Astyanax mexicanus: one gene and its partner. The protein of the gene in region 2 interacts with the protein of the main gene of each other region in a biochemical or structural test. Links are inferred from orthologs where the notes say so. Each region holds a gene or a part of one and is shown on either strand. Other genes may lie near its edges.

Evidence for each region. The genes of interacting proteins can lie anywhere in the genome.
Region 1: the proteins of dcaf11 (region 2) and histone RNA hairpin-binding protein form a complex in vitro, tested with the Homo sapiens proteins (2 studies listed by BioGRID, with this or other methods). The link is inferred for Astyanax mexicanus from reciprocal best matches to the Homo sapiens genes DCAF11 and SLBP.

The regions. Positions count from the first base shown.
Region 1 is NC_064417.1:317,510-321,266, reverse strand, and holds the start of histone RNA hairpin-binding protein, read left to right. Parts: upstream 1-1,466; 5' UTR 1,467-1,566; coding exon 1,567-1,622; intron 1,623-2,847; coding exon 2,848-2,979; intron 2,980-3,174; coding exon 3,175-3,279; intron 3,280-3,413; coding exon 3,414-3,476; intron 3,477-3,574; coding exon 3,575-3,715; intron 3,716-3,757. UniProt on the Homo sapiens protein: RNA-binding protein involved in the histone pre-mRNA processing.
Region 2 is NC_064408.1:89,574,480-89,578,236, reverse strand, and holds the start of dcaf11 (DDB1- and CUL4-associated factor 11), read left to right. Parts: upstream 1-1,035; 5' UTR 1,036-1,228; intron 1,229-2,082; 5' UTR 2,083-2,093; coding exon 2,094-2,281; intron 2,282-3,359; coding exon 3,360-3,487; intron 3,488-3,638; coding exon 3,639-3,757. UniProt on the Homo sapiens protein: May function as a substrate receptor for CUL4-DDB1 E3 ubiquitin-protein ligase complex.

The DNA.
Region 1 (3,757 bases), on a different chromosome or scaffold from region 2:
TATATTATCTGTTTATTTAGTGAAGAGATAGAAGTTTGGGATTTTTTTTCTTACTCTTACTCTAACTTTTTCTTTTCTCATGAGGTTTTTAAGTCATTTTGTATATAATGCAAATAAAAAAGGCCTAATAAATAAGGATTAAATATATTTCTCATTATTATTATAGCCACAGTCTGTGATTCTGTGAGAAGGTTTTAAACTGTGGTCTAATCTTCAAGTCATAAAAAAAAACAAAGACTTTTATTATTTGTCTAACAAAAGCACAAACAAGGGTCACATTTCCATTTCTATAAAGAGCAAATGGTTTAAACAATAGAGATCTTTGCAATGCAAAACTATTTAAATGACCTGAGCAGTTTTTAAAGGATGGCAATAAAGAGTCGGCAGCTGCTGTCAGATCAGACTGGATTTACCTGCCTAGTGTGAACAAGAAAAACGGGAGAAATATCAGGGTTCTAGATTAAATATTATAAACATATTTATAATTTCTTACTCATGAGCCTCCAAGAGTGGCCTTTAAGCTAGGTTACTATAAAGTATGTGCTTTAGGTCTTTGTAAAAACAATTTTCTAAGTAAGACTGAAGGCATAGGTTTCAATAATGACTTCAATGTTCTAATAAAAACAAAAAAGTCATTCCTAAAAAAGTTTGCAATAGATACATTTAACCAAAAAATGGTTCACAACTCCAAACAACAAAGATTAACTCACACACCAAAAAAACAATATAGCCAGGGAGGAAAAAGAACAAACAAATGCAAATTAGATTACATTTAAATATATATATATATATTTTCAGTCCCTTCTCATAATTAGTGAAACCAAACAAAACATACAAAAAACATGTAAAACAGATTCTGGTTACAAATCACAAAATGTACAGTTTGTAGTAACTTAAATCCACTAGTTATCAACCCAAAACACATTGTTGTTGTTTTTTTTCATTATTATTATTCATTTTGTATCCAAACAATAAACAATACAATCCAACAGCATGAAATATACACAATAATAGGTCAAATACACAGCAACAACAGTCCACAACAGCACATGCACTTTAAAACAAAAAAAAACTAAACAACAGAAAAAAAGAAAAGTGGGATTCAAATAAAATTAAAACGCTTCAAAATATCGATGGATTTATGACATTTTTTATTTTTATTTTGTCGAAAATTAGTCAGTAAGTGGAAATAATTATTCTTATATATATATATTTTATAATAATTAAGTCTGAGTAAACAAAAGTTTGAAAAAAAAAGTTAATTTAGTATGGTGTATATAAAAATGTCCTAAAATAATAATTAAATTTACTATATTTGTATATATTTGTTAACTATATTTGTATATCATTGTGATCAAAATAAAGGGTCATCAAAAATATTCAATATATTCACCATTATTTATGGTAGAGAAAGGAGGCGCCAAAATGGGGACTTTTATTTTGTCGGGTGTAGGCGGTGTAGTGTGGCGGGGCTGCGGGACTGTGGCGCGGTTTATCAAACCCTGAGCAACACCAGATCATCATCCAGCAGCAGCAGCAGCAGCTCCGCTTTAAACCCTTTAAATCATGTCTGACCCGCGCAGATACAGACAGGAGGAGAGCTGCGCTGCGGAGGAGAACAGGTACATGTGTTTCAGGGTTGATTAGATGTAGTTTGTGGGGATTAAAGTTCAATAAATCCGTGTTTATCTCCGCTTTACCCGGATCTGTGTGTGAGTTAGCCGGACTGGGCTAGGCTAGTTAGCTTAGCTTCATTTCTCCCGCGAGTTTCAGAAACCGCGGGATTATTATCCGGCTATCTGAGAGCTGCTGTTCGTTTTTGGAGCTGTTTTAGCAAATTTATACTTTATTTAATATTTAGGTACCAGCCTTTACACTTTTATTGATTTATTAATTTGCTGCTGATTGTGTTATTTAGTTAAGTTAGCTTGCTAAGCTATTTAACGTTAAGTGTGCCTCATTTTTTATGTTGAAGCTGTGTAACAAACTTTAAGTAACATAACCTAACACTAACTAACTAACTAGTGCAAGAGTTTTTATTTTTAGTTAACCTTGAAGAGCTTGATTTGGATTCGTTGTTATATAGATAGATAGTTATTTAACCCTGCTGAACTGCATTGTTCATTGTGCTGGAGTGTTTGTTTATTAATGGTGAGCTTGTTAATTTAACTACATTAATAAAACAGTTACAATGCTAGTTTATTAACTAGCTAACAGCTGGCTGGTTCGGTCATTAAGCTTGTGATTTGACTATATATATTTTTATATATTTTTTGTTTTGTACTAAAATAACTAACTTAGCTAGACTAACTAAATGTCATATTAAACATACTTAACTAGCTAACCTAGGCTTAGCAAATTTGCGAGCGGACAAGTTAACTGAGCGACAGCTGAACTTTATTATTAATATAATCAAGTATTATGTTAAGTGTAAATAATAGTATTTAATTCTGAATTGGCTGGAGAAAAGCTTGAGCGCTGGAGTCTCTTCTGCTTTGGCGCGAAATGGTAAAGTGCTGTTGTTCAGTTTGAGTTCTGAGTTCCAGAAAAATAAAGCTGCTAGATTAGCTGGCGTTACCTGACGACTAACACACTAAATAAATAAACAAACTAAATAATTTAACATTAAATAGAGCGTTGATGTGTTTAGAATTGTTTAAAACTTAAAGCTGGTTTAATTTGCAAATGCTTATGTGACATTTTTATAGAAAGTCTTTTAAACTTTGATTCTGAATATATTTGGTGACATATAAACTGAAAGAAGAAGTATTCTGAATGTTTTTTTCTGTTTGTTTTTGTCTGATTCAGTTCTGTTTTTAACCCCCTGTGTCTGTGTGATTCTGTCAGGAACAAAGGGTCTTCCAGATGGTCGCAGTGCCGGAAGCGTGGAGCTGATGGAGTCGTGAGAGGATCACAGAAAGAAGCTGAATTAACTAATAACACTGACAGAAAAGGCAACAGACCGCACAGACCTAACAGGTAAAGATATTTCTGTATTTTATTTATGTTTTTGTTAGAATAAAGTTATGATTCCTTTTGTGTGTGTGCGCATGTGTTTTGGTCAGGGGTGTCAAAAATTAGTACCCTGTTTTAGGCATAATTTTGAATGTCTTTCTCTGTGTTCTAAAAAGCAGTAGCAGGTTAAATAATGATGTTTTTATTCTCCACCACTAGTTTCACGACTCCAGAAAGCGAGGGACCTGTCTCGAGGATAAGGGACTGGGGAGATGAGGTGGAGTTTGATGAAATGCGCACTAATGTGCGACGTGACATGCAGCGGTCAGTTCTCTTTCTTTTTCTCTTTTCTTTTTTAATTTACTTATTTATGTGTTTTGTTACAGGCTTTAGCAGGTTTAGTTAATGTCAAGCAGATCTGTGCTTGTCTGTAAATTTAATATTTCTTGTTGTTTCAGTTACAGACGAAGGATACTGGCTGGAGAGTTTACACAAAGAGAGAGAAAAACCTCGTCTGGAAGGTTTGTTATGGCTAATATTGCTAAGATTTTCTTCTATTGTGAAATTGAAGGGGTTTAGTATTAATGCTTTTTTTTTTTTTTTTTCATTTTGTGTGCAGTTCAGACTCCAAAGATTCCAGGGACTCTCCTGCACCTGGAGAATTTGAGACAGATGAGTCTGTTTTAATGAGGAGACAAAAGCAGATCAACTATGGAAAGAACACACTCGCTTATGACAGATACATTAAAGAAGTGCCAAAGTGAGTGAAATGCTTTATTATTCTGTTGCCATTTTTATTTAC
Region 2 (3,757 bases):
TACCCTAAGCCACCACTGGGTTAATTTTTTACCCAGTTTTACACATATTATTGAATCTGTGTTCTGTAAAGAAAACAGAAGGACAAATCTATGAAATAAACGTTTATACAAATTAATATAGTAAAAAAAAAAAAACTAAAACCTTTTTGCTAAAATCTGCATCAAAAGTTTGGGCAAAATGTCTATAAATAACAATACCCACATATAACATTACTCACATTGCTTTAATGTTTATGCCAGATTATGTTTCTTTCTCTTTACAGTATTAAAATATCAGAAAAGGTTATGTAAAAATTTGTCAGTGCTCACAGCTTTTAAATATTTTTTTAGCTAGCACATTTTCTGTAAATATGTATATTTTGTCAAGACTATTTATATCATGATTAAAAATCTAAATTAGTTGCATATGTATTTTTATCTATATTTGTCATTATTCTCTTTAAATGTGTGTTTTTATATCAAGAGCTTTAGATTTATTATTTTAATTTTATCTCTATATTTATGTATATATCAGTGTATATTTGTTAATATTGTGTGTATTAGTGTATTTTTTCTGTTAATATACTCTGTGAATCTGTATATTTTACTGTATATAATTTTGTTAATATTTTCTGTAAATCTGTATGTTTTAGTGTACAATATTTTTGTTAATATTCTTTGTAAATCTGTATATTTTACTGTATAACATTTTTTATAATATTCTCTGTATTTGTGTATATATTAGTTTATATTATTTATGTAATATCTGGATATTTTCATGTATATTATAGTGTATATTTAAGTGTGTATTTTACTGTATATTTAGTTGTATATTTTACTGTATATTTAAGTGTATATTCTACTGTGCATGTAAGTGTATATTTTACTGTATATTTAGATGTATATTTTACTGTATATTTAAGTGTATGTTTTACTGTATATATTTTACAAGATATTGTTTTTGTTAATATATTTTCCCTGTTTTTTTTTTTTTTTCCAGTTTTGTTTTTTTAGTCTGTGGATCTCGCTCTCGGGTTCGCGACCGTGTCACGTGATCGTCGTGAACGCGCATCGCTTCATAAACAACATGGAGGGTCTGAGGCAGAGAGAGGGGCTCATAAAAGCGGATTAGAGGAGCGGGGGAGCGAGCTGTCAGCCGGGGGTCGGGTTTGTATGAGTACAGGGAGCGGTACCGCAGGTGTCCGGGAGTAACAGTGGACGCGGAGAGCTGAGAGACTGCAGAGTGACGGTAGGCCCGTTAGCACGGGGCTAACACTCACATTATAAACAGATAAAGACAGCGGCGGCGGAGGGGGGCATATAAACACTGTGTCACAGCGGTGAACAGTGAACTGGGGGCTGTAAACACAGGTCACTAGCGGGGTGTGTGACAGTGGGCTGTGAGCTGACCTGTGTCCTGTCCAGTTTAAGTCTGTGGGGAATGTTTTCGTCCTTGGTTCCTTAATCGCCGGTTTCTTATTGGATCTGTCCCTTCCACCTTAAATGGTACGGCTGCTGTGTTCTTCTGAACGCCAGAATGTAACTCCTGGGCCATTTAAGGTGGAATAGACGATTCCAATAAGAAGCCAACGTTCAGGGTCAACATATTGTATGTATGTCTGCCCATGACACTGCCTGTGTGAAATGCTGATCATAGTCTAAACCAGTCCACCCTGCTCTCATTTCTTTCTCGAACTTCAGTTAGCTATTGTGATGTGTTGGCAGATGCAGGTGGAAGAAAAGAGAGCTATAGATTATCTGTATTTGAGGATTGAATGTTTTGTTTGTGTTAAGTGTGAATACTATACTGTTTTTTACACACCAGAGGAAAAATCCTGTGAATCCTGTCACGGAAGTTATGAAAGGAACATAAAGGCCATTGGATGTGGTAGTACAGTTTAAACATAGTAGTTAATGAGCTATATACATATATAAATATCTAACCATTATAAAGCTTAGTAATTATTAAAGAAAGACACATCTGATCAGTATTGACAGGTTTTACTCCAGGTTTTAGTATCATATCATATCAGATATAGGAAACAGTATGTCTGGTATAATATGTCAATTCAAATCATTGTGTTCTGTTTCATATTTCCCCAGGTGCTCGGTCTATGGGCTCTCAGTCCAGTTCTGGGATGTCCGGTCGGGGCTCCAGCGGCAACCCAGACCAGTCAGAACCAGAATCTAACCAGAATTCCAACCAGAGAGGCCGCCGGCAGCCCGAGAGGCAGGCAGACAGAGCATCAGCGTCCGAGGAGGACGTTGATTTAGCACAAGTACTGGCGTACCTACTGAGAAGGTGAAGTGGAGACCTGTTAATATAATTTTTGTATTATTTATACTACTATGCAGTTTGGTAATAATTTCAGTACTCTTAAGTGCTTTAAATACTTCATTGAGAAACAAGCGATACAGTGTTCTATTGAAATTCACATTCATAAGGTTTACTAATTCTCCTAGTTTCTTTTCTAAGTTAAATGTTTTGGAATATTTCATAATGACTAATACCATGATTTTTTTTTCTTTTTAAAGAATTTTTTTTGCTATTGTTATTTTAAGTAAAAAAAATTTTAATGTAAATGTTAATGTTGTCAATTAAAAAAAGGATTTGGTATTCAGTATACAGTTATTTAATCAATTTGTGTCCTAGACAGTAGCTGCAACGATTAGTCGTTATAATCGACAATGTCGATTATTTAAATTTGTCGACTACAACAGAACAGATTACATTATTAATCACTAAATGTCAGTACTCTCCATGTTTAAACAACTTCTGGACATTTAAATGCCTTTTAAATCTCATGTTTTCTGTTTTTTTAGAGATGGAGAACATGGCACAAATAATCGTTGATTAATCGACTAATCGAAATAATTATCATCTGATTAGTCCACTACCAAAATAATCATTAGTTGCAGCCCTACTAGACAGTCCGTAGTAATGTAGGTGTGTAATACAAATATGCATATATATATATATATATATATATATATATATATATATATATATATATATATATATATGTGTTTGTGTGTGTGTGTGTGTGTGTGTGTGTGTGTGTGTGTGTGTGTGTGTGTGTGTAGTGACATTTTCATGCTGAAGGGGATTTTTAATATGACCTTGTTTTTATGATTAACATGCTGATGCATGTCGAGATTAAACAGAGATATTGAGATAAATAGGTCCACTTTCATTTACTGTGTTCTGCCAGAGTATAATGAGAACCACTGATATAGACTTTATAGAAATGCACTGTGGTTCACTCCGAAAGATTGTTGCTTTGTCAGTCCACCAAAGCTTGAGGAATTTAAGTCTTAAAAGCTGGTTTGTGTGTTGTGGAGGGGTTGTAATGTGTGCTGTGTGTTTGCTTGTGGTGTAGGGGCCAGGTCAGACTGGTCCATGGGAGTGGAGCAACAGGACTGCAGCTCGTCCAGTCTGTCTCAGACTCTGATGAGGACAGTGATGGAGCCTGGGAGGGACGTCTGGGACACCGTTATGATCCTCCGGGTAAATATAAACAAATTGGTTGATGTATTTAATTGGTTTCTAGAGGGAAATGTATGTGAAACAGCAGCCAAGAAATAATCACCTTCAATACTCAATCCTTATTACTCACTGCTACACCTAATTACACACACTGCATGTCTTTTTGTTTTAGTGGACTCCCATCCGGATACTCAGGAAGTGGATCGCAGTGAGATCCGAACACAGATCCTGCTGGCCACTGCCTCCTCAAATCTGAAGGGGAAACACAGCTTTACACACATGCTGAATCAG